4 linked regions of the Schizosaccharomyces pombe genome follow. The gene in region 1 interacts genetically with each later gene. Each region holds a gene or a part of one and is shown in the gene's direction. Other genes may lie near its edges.

What was found.
Region 2: mutations in SPOM_SPAC977.05C (region 1) and SPOM_SPCC622.15C together harm fitness less than expected from each alone (positive genetic interaction), as found in Schizosaccharomyces pombe (one large-scale study listed by BioGRID).
Region 3: mutations in SPOM_SPAC977.05C (region 1) and tol1 together harm fitness less than expected from each alone (positive genetic interaction), as found in Schizosaccharomyces pombe (one large-scale study listed by BioGRID).
Region 4: mutations in SPOM_SPAC977.05C (region 1) and npp1 together harm fitness more than expected from each alone (negative genetic interaction), as found in Schizosaccharomyces pombe (one large-scale study listed by BioGRID).

The regions. Positions count from the first base shown.
Region 1 is NC_003424.3:35,188-38,652, reverse strand, and holds SPOM_SPAC977.05C (Vel1p domain-containing protein), read left to right. Parts: upstream 1-2,270; coding exon 2,271-2,885; downstream 2,886-3,465.
Region 2 is NC_003421.2:1,427,946-1,432,645, reverse strand, and holds SPOM_SPCC622.15C (uncharacterized protein), read left to right. Parts: upstream 1-1,796; 5' UTR 1,797-1,866; coding exon 1,867-3,540; 3' UTR 3,541-3,903; downstream 3,904-4,700. Other genes in the region: Jmjc domain-containing protein Epe1, read left to right, coding at 1-947; SPOM_SPCC622.14 (GTPase-activating protein), read right to left, coding at 4,124-4,369, 4,430-4,700.
Region 3 is NC_003421.2:1,547,522-1,551,897, forward strand, and holds tol1 (3'(2'),5'-bisphosphate nucleotidase/inositol-1,4-bisphosphate 1-phosphatase), read left to right. Parts: upstream 1-2,382; 5' UTR 2,383-2,482; coding exon 2,483-3,544; 3' UTR 3,545-3,876; downstream 3,877-4,376. Other genes in the region: meiotic recombination protein Rec7, read right to left, coding at 367-1,119, 1,225-1,338, 1,396-1,548; zinc finger C3HC-type containing RNA export factor Rsm1, read left to right, coding at 4,173-4,376. UniProt on the Schizosaccharomyces pombe protein: Phosphatase that converts adenosine 3'-phosphate 5'-phosphosulfate (PAPS) to adenosine 5'-phosphosulfate (APS) and 3'(2')-phosphoadenosine 5'-phosphate (PAP) to AMP. May regulate the flux of sulfur in the sulfur-activation pathway by converting PAPS to APS.
Region 4 is NC_003423.3:1,209,966-1,214,390, reverse strand, and holds npp1 (nucleotide pyrophosphatase), read left to right. Parts: upstream 1-1,999; 5' UTR 2,000-2,038; coding exon 2,039-3,496; 3' UTR 3,497-3,600; downstream 3,601-4,425. Other genes in the region: serine/threonine protein kinase Ppk31, read left to right, coding at 1-1,568; 2-hydroxyacyl-CoA lyase Hac1, read right to left, coding at 3,669-3,713, 3,765-4,425.

The DNA.
Region 1 (3,465 bases):
AATTTATATTCGTATGTAATTACAACATCGTTCGCTACCTAAATTTTATTCTCTTGCGAAAAAGTAAAGAATAGGAATCAACGACTAAGTCTATACATCGGACTAACTCTTTTAGATCAATTGTACTGAAAACTTTTGGTTCCGCTTAGCCAGTTCATATTTTCTTTAAATTATGGCTCTGGGATTTGGGAACAAAAGAAAACTGAAAATGAAAGGGAAAAAAGCATGAAGCAATGTTACAAATAAATGTATAAGAAGGAATTCCTGTATTAGAAATTATATTACATTTTCATATAGAAATGATGATTTATGGTCTATTGATGTTTTCATCGTTAGTGCTTCCCATGATAAAAACAAATAAATTGCCATATGTTGAATCCTTCAGATTTTGAGTAAGGCTGAAGATGAAATGTCGCAATAATTCATAACTGTAATACTACATAAAGACTTTGATTATTGAGTTTAACTTTCATACATTTATTGCATTTTTAGCAAATGCAGTAGAACGGGCTTTCAAGAGATACAGAGGAAGAAAAGCGTAAGGGAATTATAAACTGGAATTTGTAAACATCTCTTGGAAATTATATCAATCTTGAATATTGGCTCATCATTAAAAATCATAGTGGAATACTTGGTTGTTATTCGAGTAGTTAGTCAGAAGTTATTGTTTTGATACACATAACCTTACTTGAATAATGTTACAAAAAAGAAAAATTATAATGGAAATAGATGAATCTAAAACAAATTTAATTTTTAAGCGATAAAATTGAAACAAACATTCGTCAACAAACTACTCTAAAATTTCACCTGCTACTAGTTTTACTACGAAAACGTAATATACTAGGGTTTCACAAGGTAAGTCATACATTCTAAATTTCTCCTTCCAGCATTTTGAAAATATCTTCTTTGCTCTAGACTTTGTTAAATACAGATGTAATAATATATGTTAACCACAAACTGCACCTACTTGACATGTGAATGGATGATATCTAAGAGGTGAAATTCAAATCTAAAGTAATGTTATGCAACATCTGTTAATTGTGTTTGTATTTCTTCTTAAAAATAATTACACATTTAACACGAAGCCATGAAAAGCGTTAGAGGTTTCGCCTCTAACTGATTTAAAAAGGAAACCCAAATTTTTTCCCTTCTTAATTTATGTAAAAGTATTGAGAAATACCTAGTTATAAAGATGAAATTTCGAATATTTCAAATTTCATATAAAGAAAGATTTCTTTACAAGAAATGAATGAGTTTTAAGAATATATTCACAACAAAGCATTTGATAAAATTGATTTATTAAGTATGCATTGAAACATTCTAATGAGATTTTTTAAAGGAAACTGCAAAAAAATAGGGCGGTATATATGCAACTCGTTAAAGACGAGTAGTATAAGAATTGCTTCGCTTTCTTCAAAGACTAAATATGGAAAAAGAGTGGGGGATTACTATATTAACAAGTTTTCAGAACAGAAACAGAAACAATTACAACTATCTACAACCGAGAATCTCTTTAATTAATGTTTTCCAGTTCAGTCTGGTTGAAGATTCGTTTTTTGGCTTCTAAGTTAAAATCCAAGTAAATAACTGACGGGTATTTTATTTTAGAATAAATCGATAGGAATCCGAATCGTTTATAATATAATAAACGGGATAAAAGCTACTCATATTGCTAATGATAATCCAGTAGGCATACTACGACTGAAGAAACATAATTTTTTTTCGAATTTTTCCTTATCTAATGGAACCAGTACCATTTCGTGAATTAGCAGATTTTCATTTGTTTGTTTTGGCCTCGTTATTCAAATTCAATAATGTAATGGAAGATTTTCCAAGAATAATAGACGTTGATAACAATGGGTGGGAAACCGCAAATTTTGTTTGAAAATCAGAGGGAAGATCTACACAACAAAAAGAGCAACAAATTTGAGCAGTAGAGAAAAGACCAAAAAAGCGTGTGTTTTCTGAGACAAATGTGTCACAACTCGCCGATAAATTCGCAATCACATAAAAATTGGTATTCGTTATTGACTAGTGGGAAAACCACGTTACCTCAACGATTTGCAGTTGTTACCACTTTTGGTGACATTTCAAAAAGAAAAAGGTGATTTGCAACGTTTGAAATTGCGACGATCATGATCTACGCGAAAATATCTCATTTTATATATGTACGAGTTAATCTATTTTTGTTGCTGAAAAAAGAAAAAAAAAACTATATAAACCGACTAAAATCAAACATTTCTTTACAAACATTCAAAAGATATTTCCATATGATTTTCAAAAACTTAATATCTCTCTTTTTCATTGGGCTCGCTACCGCCATACGCTTCAACCTCACTGATCTTGAGTGTAGTAGACTACGCGGTCCGCATTGTGGTACGTATCTACTGAAAGTAGTAGGAACGAATGCTACATACGTTGGTGAAAAATCATTTATAGGTCTTGATGCTTTGACTGAAAGTAAAGGTGAATTTTTTCAGCGTATGTTGGAACAAGAACCTCGACTTATTCCACGTTTGTTTACGATAGCTGAAAACGACACGGCCAACTTTACTCCCTTGACATTTACAACGTATTTGAAAACATGCAATCCTCAAAGTATTGAAAATGCAATGATCCCTTTTGTGAATACTGTTACCAGTGAAATTTCTTTTGATGCATGGGCGTATACAGCACAAAATTCAAGTCGGATAACGGGTCTTAGCAACCAACTGATGAATTCTACTCTATATAATGTTCAAGTAGCAACATGTACTCCCGGATTCTCTGCGTTATTGTTAGATAGTCCTACAATCAATGTTTTTAATAACGAGGAAGGCATGCCAAGTTGGTGTCAGCCCATTGAACTTATACCAGTTTGTCCTTTGGATGAGGGATTCAACTGATATATATATAATCGTTATTTAAATCGTGGGATTTAAAAATAGGGGTTAAATTTATCCTCTAAAAACATTTAATTAGAAACGCTTAAGCAATAAAAGTCTTTATACTAGATAAAATATTGTAAATTGTTTTTTTTATTTTTTTTTTTTATTTTAAACTTATACTAAACATATTTTCTAACAAATAACGGAATTCATAAGTATTTTGATTTTGTTTATGTGTTTTTCGCTTTTTATTGTGTTTTAATGGTAAGGAAAAGTTATAGCATACTTCATTTTACTAGTGAAAAAAGCATAACAGGAAATCTTTTAAGTTAGCGACAAACAGTTACTCGGCTTCCAAGCGGTTGCAAATCATTCGTAGTAGATCGACAATCTTGGAATGAGTCTATCAAACAAATCCGCGCTAGGCAGTACGCTAAAATGAACAGCAACACATTTGATTTTACCGAGTATTGAGTATTCTCATCGTCGTTATAACCATTAACGGATTTGTACGTTTTGTTTATCTTCACAGAGCCAAGAGATCAAAGAAGGACTGAGGTGCGTTAAGTACGGTCCAACATGTAATTATGTTCTTTGT
Region 2 (4,700 bases), on another chromosome or scaffold:
TACATGCAACTACGTTTCGTGAGGACATTGTCGTTCGTCCTAAAATCAAGTCATTCGTTCTCGAACAGTTGATCTTTCAGGCGTTGTTTTCATTTGCTATCAATTGGACACCAAGCTTCTTTTTGAATCACTCCAATTTTGAGAATATTGCGTTGAGTAAAGAAACGTTTAACTTTGGAGGTGAAGCCAATTGCGAAAATACGGACACCACATTATTTACTACTTGGGGCGATCAAGGTTTTAGACCAAGTGATTCTATTTGCTATAACGACTTTAATTTATTGGAAACGGCGAATTCTGATGCTGAAGCTTCAATACATGAACTCGAACTTCAACCGCTGAATGCAGTGAATGAAAGAGAGGTTGATATATCGCAAACCGACATGACTCCATCCACGGCGTTAGACACTAGGGTAGACACTAGGGTAGACTCTTTACCAGAATTTTCAAACTTGATACTTTCGCCCTCAAGCAATGACGACAGTTTTCAACTTGACGACTTGTTGTCCCCCTCTTCATCAAATCTCAAACAACAGATTCAAAAAGTCGTTCCTCAAAATTCCCTAGAATTTTCTGTTGGTGAGAAAGAAAAAAAGGCAGCCGAATATAGCCTGCTTCATACGTTTTCTTACAAACGACTCTCTATGGAAAATGAGAAACCAGATACTACAAAGGTACCTTTAAAATATAACATACAACATGAAGAAATGAAAGCGTATCGAAGAAAAAATGATTTAGAATATATAGATCAGCACTTTGCAAGCTCTAAGAGTGGAATTTCGAATGGGAGGAATAATAATAAAGAGGTCAACTTAACAAAAGCTGAAAATGTCGGCATCAAAAAACGTCGAATCATGAAAAATGAAAATAACATTTATGATTTTGAAGATCACTCTCCTGTTAGGGAAAAATGGGGGCACAGGCTTCGGTCCAGAGGTGCTAGTTAAAGTACCTCGGCACTTTTTATTTCCTTCGGCTACCATTGAATATTTATCCCCACGTGCTTATGATTCTTGAGTAGTTCACATTTTATGAGTATATCATGAAGGTTTCATCAAATAATTAAGACTCTTTTTTTTTCTATTAATTGGGTTTTTATTTATAAAACGATTAAGAGCATCAATCCACTTTGACTCGTTGTTTGCTTTTAAACTACGATCGTCCTAAAATGATTTATGGACTACATAACACACAATGGAGTCATTGAAAGCGTGGACATCCCCATGAAGCGGCGCAGGGACACTCAACCTGAACGGATTGTATCAAAGCCGGATACTACAACACACTTTTTAATATGAATGTCTCCTATTGGCGTCGTCTCGTCTACTTTATCCATCTCAGCTGATGCAACGACGCTTCAGGGTTTTCCATCCAAATCCCAATTTACCAGCCTTACTTTTTTATAATGTGCTAATATTGTTGAATTGTGCTCAAATATGTACATATACTACCCGATATAATGATTCTATAAATACTCTTTTTCTGTTTTTTTTTTTGGAACTCATATAAATAAATAATCCGGCGATCTAACTACAAGCCACGTTTCTATTAATCTAATCGGTCGTTTCATCTTTGAATATTATTTAATTAATTTATTTTCCTATTTTAATTGTTAATACTACTAGAAACAATGGTAATATTCTAGATTTCTATTATCTTAAGATTTCCGCATTGCAACCTGCTAAGTAATCTTATCAATGCGTTAGAACGCGTAATGTTATTTTACATTTTACGGTCCGCAAGCTAAAGCATGCACTATGTATTCATTGCCATACGCGAGCAATGTACCCGGCCTTAACAATACAGTAGACGGATATTGGAATTCAAGCGGAATTGAATATTTCTGCTTTGAATTGACTTAAAATAATGAATGAAGATGAAACTTCAATTTTAAATAAGAAAATGGAGAAAATTGAGGTAGAAATGGCGGAATTTGAACGATTGGGCGCTGAAAGAGAGAAGGAGGCGGTCGAAAGAATTGTTCAAGAGGAAAATCAAAATCCTGAAGTTCCATCGAACGATGACGCGTCCACAGATATTAAATCGCGAAAAGAAGGAAATATGAAAGTCACCGCCGAGGAAATTGGTTTGGAGACTGAGAACTTTGATGAGCTACCTGTAAGTAATGGATTTGGTGTAAGCCGACGAGAAACCCATTACGGTAACAACAGGACGTATTACAAAAATTCTCAAGGATATCGAAGAAAACCCAAGAGAGATGATTATAACAATAACCGAAAAAACTTTTATCCTCCTATACAAAATTCTACATATTTTATAAACGCTACCGGGGGAATTGACTCCATGCCATATTTTGGTTTAAATAATGCTCCCGGCAATATCTATCCCTTCTCAATGTATAAACCTTTGGAAGCGGATCCGCAGTATTTATCTGTTCCCTCATCCATGCCTTCCAGAAGGGAAGCTGGTATGGCTTATGGATATCAGAACTACAAACGAGGTGGTTATACTCCTAATACGCAGTATTTTGAGGAGCCTCTTAATAACACCTCTTTTCCTAATTCCCAAGGGAAAGAGGGAAAAAATTCGGGGTATCGTAAATCGTCAAGGATCCTCGATATCCGTGTAAAGTTTGGAAACTCTTCTATGAAAGCCATCAATTTTCAACCTAAAAAGAAAATTGTCCATGTCGTGCATAATCCCCGTCTCCATCAGAACAAAGTTCTTCGCGTCAGTATACCTGGATCCCAACCAGCACTGGTTACACCCAAACATAAAATGAATGTTCCTCCTATGGGAATGTATCCCTTACCTTTCTCCCCTTTACCTTCTGCAGCTCCGCCTATTCCTTTTTCCCCTAACGTCTCTTCCCATCCACATATGGCTTTTCTTCCAGCCACTGTACCAACTCATTCTGCTCCTCCTGGATTTGTCCCTTACGATTTTCCTATTACAAATGACAAAATGTATCCTTCACCCTCATTTCAAGAGGAATTTCCATCAACTTCAAAGTCCCCTTCGGCCACACCGGGATCTTCTAACGCTCCTGTTGTGGATATGCATCCTAGCGCTGATTCCGCTACGTACCCTACTTCCATATATCCCTCTAATGTACGTGCAAGAGATGATTCTCAGCAAGCTTATATTTCTGCGAATATGACTACCGGTGAAATGCCATCCATGACCAATGTTCCCGCTGGTAATGCACCTGCAGCACCGGGAACCATGTACACAACCCCTTTACCTACTGCCAATAGTCCGATTGCATATCAATCCTACTCTGTTATGCCGACTTACTGGTCGTTTCCTCAAAATTATGATTCCACCGTTCCCGCGGTCTATCCTTATATGCCTCCTCCATTTTCTGGCAGTGATATGAATGTAATGTCCAATCCTGCTGCCGATACTTTACGATCTTATTCACCTGCTAGTCAGGTCTCAACTCCCCCCTTCGGTTTCGTTTATTACTATGACCCAAATCAGTATTACGTACCAGTTAGTAACGAATCAGCCAATGCTACTAGCCAGCCGTTGTCTAACTTAGACACTGGAGGCAGTGCGCCTTATGACCATATTTGATGGGTCAATGACTTATTGTCTTTTGTTAGAATGATTTTTATCATTGAGCTTTTAAGCATTTTGATTTAATTATGTTATGACCAGCATTTTTGTTTTGGAAAATGACCGGCAATGCCTATATCCTCATATCTTCGTCTTTCCTGTTTTCTTTTAAAATCCACTCTACATACCGATTAGGCATCGTCGACTAAAAAAGAAAAAAGTCATTGGTTTTATTCAAGAAAGCACATGATCCGGTTATCTTCTTAAAATTTAGCCGGCATTCAACTTATGCTAATGAAAATAAAATATGTTATTATCATTTTTTTCATTGTTTTGAACTATAAGCCTAAAACGATGAAACTTTTGTAACAGAAATAAACAAGAAGACTCCGTCTTCAATATATACAAACTTTTTTTTTCAGTTCCCCATGTATTATACTTGAAGAAGCTTCAAATGTCAGATAATTCTAATGAAGTAGCAATATTTTTTTTATCGGTAGCGTTCTTCGTTTATGTTTTAGCTGACGAATGCTTGATAGACGAGGCACTCCTAACAGCAATGAAACATATCAAACTGCTTACGAGTTTAATAATAAAAAAGTCAATCGTGCTTATCGAAATTCTTTTTCGAATAGTCTTCAGGTGGAGGAGAGGCAGCGAGAGCTGAATAAGGAGAGTCGATTTCCGCATCATAAGTACCGCGGGTGTTTTGGGGGTTTTCGGAATATACATTTTCATCCAAAAAGGATTTAAGTTGTGTAAATGATTGCTTAGCACCTTCCTGAACGTTACTAGAGAAATTATTAATGGCATTCATGTAATCCTTCCTTGTTTCGGGATCTTGAACCTAAAAACAGAGTCAGTACAACAGAAACTTTATTTTTTGGATACAATAAAATGTTTGTACCTTTGTAATCCCTGGCTGAATATAGGACTTATTTACGTCTTGAATCTGTTGGGAAACAGATCTGGAGAACATGTTCCAACCATGACTAAGTGCAGAAACAGGATTAGATGATAATTGGTCCAAAAAAGAGCCACCGTTATTTCTAGCAGAAGAATTGGGATTAACAGAGTTAGAGCTTCCAAACCCTTGATAGCGACCTCCTTGTGAAGGGGGTAAATCATCAGGGCGTTGGGAATTAATGGAACCAAGCTTTGCAAAATATTTATCATTT
Region 3 (4,376 bases), on another chromosome or scaffold:
AGGATCGGAACGGGATCTTCTCAATTTGATTTTAATGCTCTGCATGGACAAGCCTAAGGGAAAAGAGTCATGCAACAAGTAGAGAAATTTATTTCAACATTGTTGTGTTGGCGGTTTCTGTTTGCTAATCCTCAGCAACGATCATATGCAGTTGAGATCTCGACCAACTTTTCGTTAAATAATGTCAAAATTTGCAACAAATGTTTTATCACGGTACTCGAAGAATGTGAACTTAATGAAGTTTCTCATTTGGTTGCCAAATTGTGGTCACACATCAATTTTGTCGAAATAACCATTCCGATCCTGATTTCGTTCCATTTTTACTACTTTTTTAAATTTGGGATTAAGTTGAATTGGTCTGTCTTCCTACATCTTGTTCCATACCCGTTCCAAACTTTGACATAATTGGATGAAGCTGTCTTGTTTTAGATAGAATAATACCTTGGAGCGTAATTGCTTTTCCTCTTCAGTAAGTTCTGTTGGTAGGATTTGTGAAGTCGTTGGGGGTGATGGAATCAAATTTGCGTATGCTTGGTTCTCCGGTTGAGCAACCCACGAAGCCTGTGTCTGAGAGTTCAGCGGCGTAGCAGCAATAATGGGGTATTGTGAGTTTGCACCGTAAGAGTAGGCATTACGATTGGGATTAAAAGGTGATGAAGTTATCACCACGTTTTCATCCCAAGTGGGTTGTTGTGACGCAGTAATACTTTCAATTGATGTATCACTTCGAAGGGGCATTTGGGTCATGCCCGCATCCCCGCGGAATCGCTTAAGCGGTGGTGTATTGGAGAAGATTTCAGCATTTGGCATGACATGCTGCAGTGGTGCTGGATTGACATAGTTTGTGCTATTGTTCACAGCAGTTGTTGCTGTTTGGGTCATGGGGATATAACTCGGTTGTAATAAAAGATTTGGCTGTTGCGCCGATGACTTGTTATATGCATTGTTCATCAACGAAAGTTCCTGTGAGTTATTAGATTGACTTTGGGAGTTATTGAATTGCTTCTTCTCAGAGGAAGACTTTGCATCTTTGAACACCAGGCCTAGCTTCTCAAATTCAACTTTGGCTTTCATATAATGCACGTCAGATGGGAATTTCACTTGAAATCTTTTCATCACCTAAATTTATTAACAACAAAATACGCTTCATCAACACTCCATTTTTTTTTTTAAAAAAAGAGGCCTCAATGTGATTTTGAATAAATCTGCTTTTGTTTTACTTACATTATTAGTGAAAGCACGAATATTCATACACGGAGCGCGTGAAAGCAGAGTTAGACATTTTTCCTTCGTTCCCGGTATCAATTGGTGCCAGAGATCTAACAAGTTTATACTTTGCTGTTTGTTTGTTAAAAATATTGAATTTTTCTAGCAATATGGTTTCATGTCGCGTACAATTAATTCTTCGTGTTGACGAATTTGAAGCAATCCAGACGTTAATGAGAGTGTAAAACCTCCATCTGAATAATGTGACCAGTTGATATGGGAGGAATCTGTAGTATACGAATCCTCAGCTACAGAGTACTTAACAATTGGGAAAATGTTCATGTTTGTTTATGTTTGAATATGAGAAGACGCGTTAGACTGAACCTCATTTATCTGATAACGCAGTACGTTCCGTCACGGTGTATTACTTTTGTTTACATTTATGAGTTGACCTGAAAACGACTAGACTTTATGGAATGTAAGTCTTGTTATCACAATATATTACATATGATTGTAATTTGCCATAAGGAAACTATTTCTTCAATCTGTATTGAGGAATATCTGATTGTTCATTAATTTCTCAAGTCTCTTCAAACAACAGTATTTTGAGAGAAAGGAAATTTTATGAGCAGTTTCTTCTTTTACTAATCAATCCCTTTAAAATATTTTTATGCCTTCATTTCATCCTTGGTATCTACACTTATATAAAAATTTTAGGCATATTTGCCTGTTAAAGGGAAACGCAAGATACGGACTTGCACTGCTTTTAAATTATGCGTTTTTTCCATCAGAATGATATTTTTTTTCCTTAATATTATATTTCATCCTTTCTCCATAGGTTGGAAGGGTTGGCGAACTGCTTTGCCAATACCCAGACTTTAGTAGTGTCGTTTGTATAATTAATGAAAACCTAAAATGTGGACATGGAGAAACCTGTTTTAAAATATTAACATGCTCTTTTCACAATAGAAACTACATAATCATTATTGTTTAATAAAAGTTAGCATAACCTGCGATTTTACAAAAAAAAAAGGTCTTTTAGTCAGAAAAAATGAAACTCTTTCTCGTTTCATAACAATTTTTTAGTTCTTTCTTCTATTTGAACAATATTTTTGGTTAAATGTGGAAACGTCAATTAAACACCGTATATGCTGATTTCATATTCTTCGCACTTCCACTGCCCAGGTTTACAAAAATTTCCAAACTCCGTGTTAACAGGAAATTTGGTGCTAAAATCATACCTCCATTAATAAATAACATTAGAAAATTATTTACCATGAGCTTTGATGCCGAAAAACAATTAGCTATTGCTGCTGTGCGCAGAGCTAGCTATTTGACCGAAAAAGTGTTTAATCAACTTATCAAGGAGAAGAGTGCTGCTGGGGCACTTACTAAAGATGATAAATCACCTGTGACTATTGGCGATTTTGGTGCTCAAGCTATCGTAATCTCTATGTTAAAAGATGCATTTCCCAATGATCCAATTGTTGGCGAAGAGGATTCCGACTTTTTGAGAGAAAACACCCAAACCTGCTCTCGTGTTTGGGAATTAGTTCAAGAAACTATCCAACATGCTACTGAATACAAAGAGCTTGGTCAAATCAAGTCAGCTGAAGAAATGATGAGCATTATTGACCAAGGATCATATCACGGTGGTCGCAATGGTCGTATGTGGACTTTGGATCCCATTGATGGAACTAAAGGATTTCTACGTGGTGCCCAGTATGCTATTTGTTTAGCTTTGATTGAGAATGGAAAACCTGTGGTAAGTGCCATTGGATGCCCTAATCTTCCATATGACTTTAATCAGCCCGAGACAAGTCCCAAAGGTATCATAATGTCCGCTGTTCGTAACCATGGTTGCTTCCAGTATTCTCTCCATAACGAAAAATTAGAACCAGTTCAAGTGCACATGCAAGATGTTCAAAACACCAAGGATTCAAAATTTTGCGAAGGAGTAGAGGCTGGTCATTCAATGCAAGGAACTCAAGAAGAAATTGCAAAGTACTTAGGGATTACTCGTGGACCTACCAAGATGGATTCTCAAGCCAAATACGCTAGTCTTGCTCGTGGTGATGGTGACATCTACCTTCGTTTACCAACCAAAATGACATTTGAAGAAAAAATTTGGGATCATGCTGGTGGTTCTCTTCTTGTTGAAGAGGCTGGTGGTGTTGTTTCTGATATGTTTGGCAAACCTTTGGACTTTGGTGTAGGAAGAACTCTTAAGAACAATAACGGTGTTATAGCCGCCTACAAAGGTATTTTTGAAAAGGTAATTGAAGCTACTGCAGCTGTAACATCTAAAGACCCTCACTTTCAAAAGGTCGCCCAATAATCTGTCCGAAATATTCTAGCTTTAGGGCTTTATTTAGATTTTTCAGCATGTTAGCATATGCGTTATCGAGGATTCTACAAAAAATGTAATCTTGAAAATATTTACTTGCCATAAGCTTATGATTAGCTCCTTTTAATTAGATCAAAACAATTAACAACATGTTATATGTCTTTATGGATGACATATTTTATTTACCTTAAATTATGGATTATATAGTAGCAATGTTTAATTGTTCAGGTATAGTTACACAGGTCAGTATGAATAGGTTAATTGTATAGTTATTTTCCATATTACCTTACTATTTTACTTTTAGTATTCTCGTAAATTTACTATACGGTGGTGTTGATCAATTTCAAGGAATTTATGCCTTCAAGTGTGGTTTGGCTAATAACATGGACATGTTTTCTTAAAACGGTAAAACTTTTTAACAATTTTGATGAAACGAATATTGAGCTCATGATCCAAATTGGTATTTTGAGATCCTTCCTAAGTACTTTGACTTGCGCTACCTTGATTCCTGCTGAAAACGTTTGGAAAAGGCATGTAATAAAAGTTTTCTATGATAATATTTGAGACACCACATTTTTCGAAAAGAAATATAATTTTTTAACTCTTAGAACGGGTGATAATGTCATTTCCTACCGATATGGAGACAAATGAAATTTTGGATCAGTTAGACAAAATTGACGAAAGAAATGAAGATATTCTTTTAAAGTCTCTAAAAGCTTCTAAATGCACATATAAGCCCTGGAGCAGAGAAGAGTTTTTGAGACGATTGTTGACTTATAGAAGTCGGTGGGCTTATGTAAACGATCCTCAAATTGGTGAGATA
Region 4 (4,425 bases), on another chromosome or scaffold:
GCCATAATGATAGGAGATTTGGGGATAATACTCCTCACTCATTAGACGAGTTCATACTTTTAAAAGAAATAAACAGAGGGGCATACGGTAGGGTTTATCTTGCTAAAAAAAGATCTTCAGGAAAGTATTTTGCTCTTAAAATGATTCCAAAATCCAGTCTTGATAGCTTAAAAAAAATAAAAGGACTATTGCTTGAAAAGCGTAACATGCATATCCAAAGATATGGACCAAACACAGTGAAATTATATTATGCATTTGATTCTGGGGACTACCTATGCCTTGTAATGGATTATTTTAATGGAGGAGATTGTGAAACACTTATTCAAAAATTAGGACCGTTACCAGAGCAATGGGTTTGCCAGTACGCAGCTGAATTACTAAATGCTATCGAGCTTTTGCATCAGGATGGAATCATCCATCACGACATAAAGCCTGCCAACATGTTGGTTGACGAAACAGGACATATTCGGCTTACAGACTTCGGACTGAGTGAAAACGTAGAGGAAAAAAAAGAGGTTTATAAGCTTACTAAGAGGATGTCATTTGAACAGAAACATGGAAATTTGTATGAGCAGCTTCAACCTAAAAAATTCGAATTTGTAAGATATGTTCGAAATTACCGCGGGAATATTGATGAGCTTGAGAAAGCGGAGAGTCCACAGCAAAATAGTGATTATGCCAATGACTCGGTCCAGCATTTACTTGACTTTGATATCAATAACATGGATGAAACAGCAATACACATGTTAATGAATCAGTTAGAGAAAAAGGAAAACCGGACATTCATCAAAAAAGATATTTCAGGGACGCCAAATTATATGGCTCCAGAAATTTTAATGGGCGTTGATACTCAGATGGGCGATATATGGGCGATGGGTTGTGTGATATTCGAAATGTTGACTGGCACGCGACCATTTGAAGCAAATACTGTAAAAGCAATATGGGCTCGCATAGAGAGAAATGATATTGGTTGGACTAAAAGAGTGAAAGAAAGCTGCTCAAAGGAGGCGGTAGACTTAATCACCAAACTCATGGATCCAGACTGTAACAAACGGCTGGGTAGCAATGGATACCAGGAAATCAAAAAACATCCTTTTTTTCGAACCATTAAATGGGATAATTTAAATAGTGGGCCAGGTCCGTTCGTTCCACAAACAGAAAATGTTGAAGATTTGACGTACTTTGAAAAAAACATAAGCGGTTCGGATAATATTAATAAAAATAATTGTCAGACGTCAGCAACTTTAATTCTAAATGGTATTTTTGCTTTTCATCCTCCTCCAAAAGCAACACCAGCTGACAGTGGTACTGAAACCTCAAACTCAGCTGCTTTCTCTGCGTCCGAGGAGGAGACCACAAATTTAACAGACCAAAAACGAAAAGATCTTTTTTCACTAATAACCAAAGCGTTTAAGGGAATAGACTTAAAGGCCCTTAATTACAACAACAAAGCCACGCTTTTGCGAATGTATGATGAGGTCGATTTCCCCAAAAATCAACAAAGAAATAAAGAGAAATTTCGAATTCAGAAACGACCTAACAAAAAGTATCGCTACCATTTATTTTAACATCATGTAAAACCATAGACATAACATGTTCGCTATCCAGAACGAATCATGATAAGTTGAAAAATGGTTAATTAATATTTCCATACAGAAACAGTAAAAAGACAAATAAACTTGTTCTACAAAATCTTTTATTCTGAGGCTTTAGCCAAATAATGCTTCTAACATAAGTTGATGTTTCCTCCTTGAATCCAAATATTATTAATAGTTGAATTTCATATATGAAAAAAAGCTATCTCATTTCACTAAACGTTTCAAAGGATGACATTTCCTATACGACAGAACATTTAAGAGGACTGAATAGTTTACGAATTGAAGTAAGTTAGAACAAAGTGTTTACCGCATATCTTTGAAAGCGTTAAATGATTTTAACAATATTTTTCGCATCGTTATTCAAGTAAGTATTATTTGACAGATTATATGATATACCTAACAATACTCCTTTATATCATTGATTTTGAACATTCGCCGAAATGTTTAGTTGGGCTAATATTGGGTCCAACGAGTATTTGCCTTTGAAAAATGATCGAAAGGCTTATTTGAATCAATGGGCAAAACGATCGGGACTAGCAATTGCCGCTATTTGCATTTTAGGAATTCTGATATTGGCAATTGTGAAATTATTTTGCTTCAAAGCAATTATTTTTCCTATCGTTGGAGGTTCCTTCAACAATGGGACCAATGTTTTTCAGTCCACTGTCATCGTAATCTCCTTGGATGGATTCCGTGCTGATTACTTATATCGTGGGTTCACACCTAATCTTCTGAGCCTGGCTGAACGTAATGTCCATGTTCCCTTTTTGATTCCTTCTTTTCCTAGTATAACTTTCCCTAATCACTATACTATTGTTACCGGTTTATATCCCGAGAGCCATGGAATCGTTAGTAACAACTTTTTTGATCCTGTAACTGGGAAGCAATTTGTCAACAGTATGCCTGAATGTAACAAAGACCCAACTTGGTGGGATAAAGGGGAGCCTATATGGGTCAACGCTGAGCGAAATAACGTTCGATCAGCGGTACATATGTGGCCTGGAAATGAAGTGGAGAATCATGGTTACAGACCTACTTATTCGGATGGTTTCAATTTTGATACGACTCTAAGAGAAAAGAAAGATAGAATACTCGAATGGCTGGATCTTCCTGATAAAGACCGCCCTCAGTTATTACTTGCTTATGCTCCCCATGTAGATATGGTTGGGCACGCATTTGGACCGGATTCGCCTGAACTGAATATCATAATTCAAGAAGTTGATATCGTAATTGGTGAACTAATTGAAGGACTGAAGAAAAGAAATATCGATAAGCATGTCAACATTATTTTTTTAAGTGATCATGGAATGGCGCCTACATCCGATAATCGTCTTATCTGGCTGGATAATATGTTTAATTTGTCTGCCGTTGCACACAGAGATGCTTGGCCGTTAGGAGGTTTTAGAGGAGAATCTGATTTAGATGATGAGTACATTTACGAAAGTCTTGTTAATTATTCTCGCTCGTCATTACCTTCTGCTGAGAATTGGAATGTTTATTCAAAGAAAGATATACCTTCTCGATGGCATTACTCAAATAATGAAAGAATAGCTCCCGTTTGGATGATCCCGGATGTTGGATGGTCTCTTGTCTCGATGCTGGATCATTCACCGGAGTTGGAGTATGAGCCTTTGGGTGTACATGGTTATGACAATTTGTCTCCAGTGATGAGAGCACTTTTTATCGCTTCAGGATCTTCTTTTAAGAATTTTAAGGGAAAGAAGCTTGCACCGTTCCAGAACACCGAAATTTATGGCATTCTTTCGCATATATTAGATTTACCAGCTCAGCCTAATAATGGTACATATGAAGGTGCTTTACCTTTAAGAAGAAATCGTAATTCTACTAAGGAATGGTTGCTGAAGGACATAGAACAAGCATACTCTAAGCTTATTTAATTCTGCTGTTTTATCACTATCTTTATATTTTTTAATATTTTTAATTTCCTTTAGATTATATTTAATACTTTTTTTTAATAAACGACTTTATTTGAATAGCAACAATAACTGTATTCCGATTTTTAAGAATCGTAAAAGAACATCACTTCTTCTATTTTTAATTAAATGATGGTCATAACTTTGGTTTCACTTTGGTACTGCTCATCCATGCAAATGTCTAGTGATTGTTAGCTTGTTCTTATACCTAATTCATTCCATTAATACTTACCAATTTTCGAGCAGCCTCCGGGTCCACCATAACATTTATGAGAGATACAGATGAGGTTTGCCATGCTTTCCTGAGGGAACTTCTCAAATCTTCTTCATTCTTTACAAAGAAACCTTTACCACCACATGCTTCGCAAATTTGATCATAACGTATACTAGTGCCTAAGGCAGTAGTCGGTAATTGGTGATTATCACGTAAAGTTTCATAAGCATCAGTATCTAATCCATGGTAAACACCATTATTATTGATTACAATTACCAAAAGATCCAGCTGGTTGCGTATGGCGGTTTCCAGTTCCATGGCGCTAAAGCCAAAAGCACTATCACCCTCAACTACCACTATTTTGTCGGATGAATGGGCAAATGCGCTGGCAATAGCATATCCCATACCAACTCCCATTGTTGACATAGTGCCTGCATCCAGTCGACCACGTGGATGAGTTACTTCTAAAAGCTGACGGCCCCGGTCCATTGTATTGGCGCCTTCAGAAACCCAAGTGATATTACGCTTTGATTTGAGCGATAAGCTTTGTAGCTCCTCATTCACGACATACAAAGCATAATTCATTTGCAACGGTATACTGGACTTTCGAGATTCAAGAGCCTTTTTCTCATTCTTGGATCGGGTTTCATTTAACGTGCGAAGGTAAGGGGTCGAGATG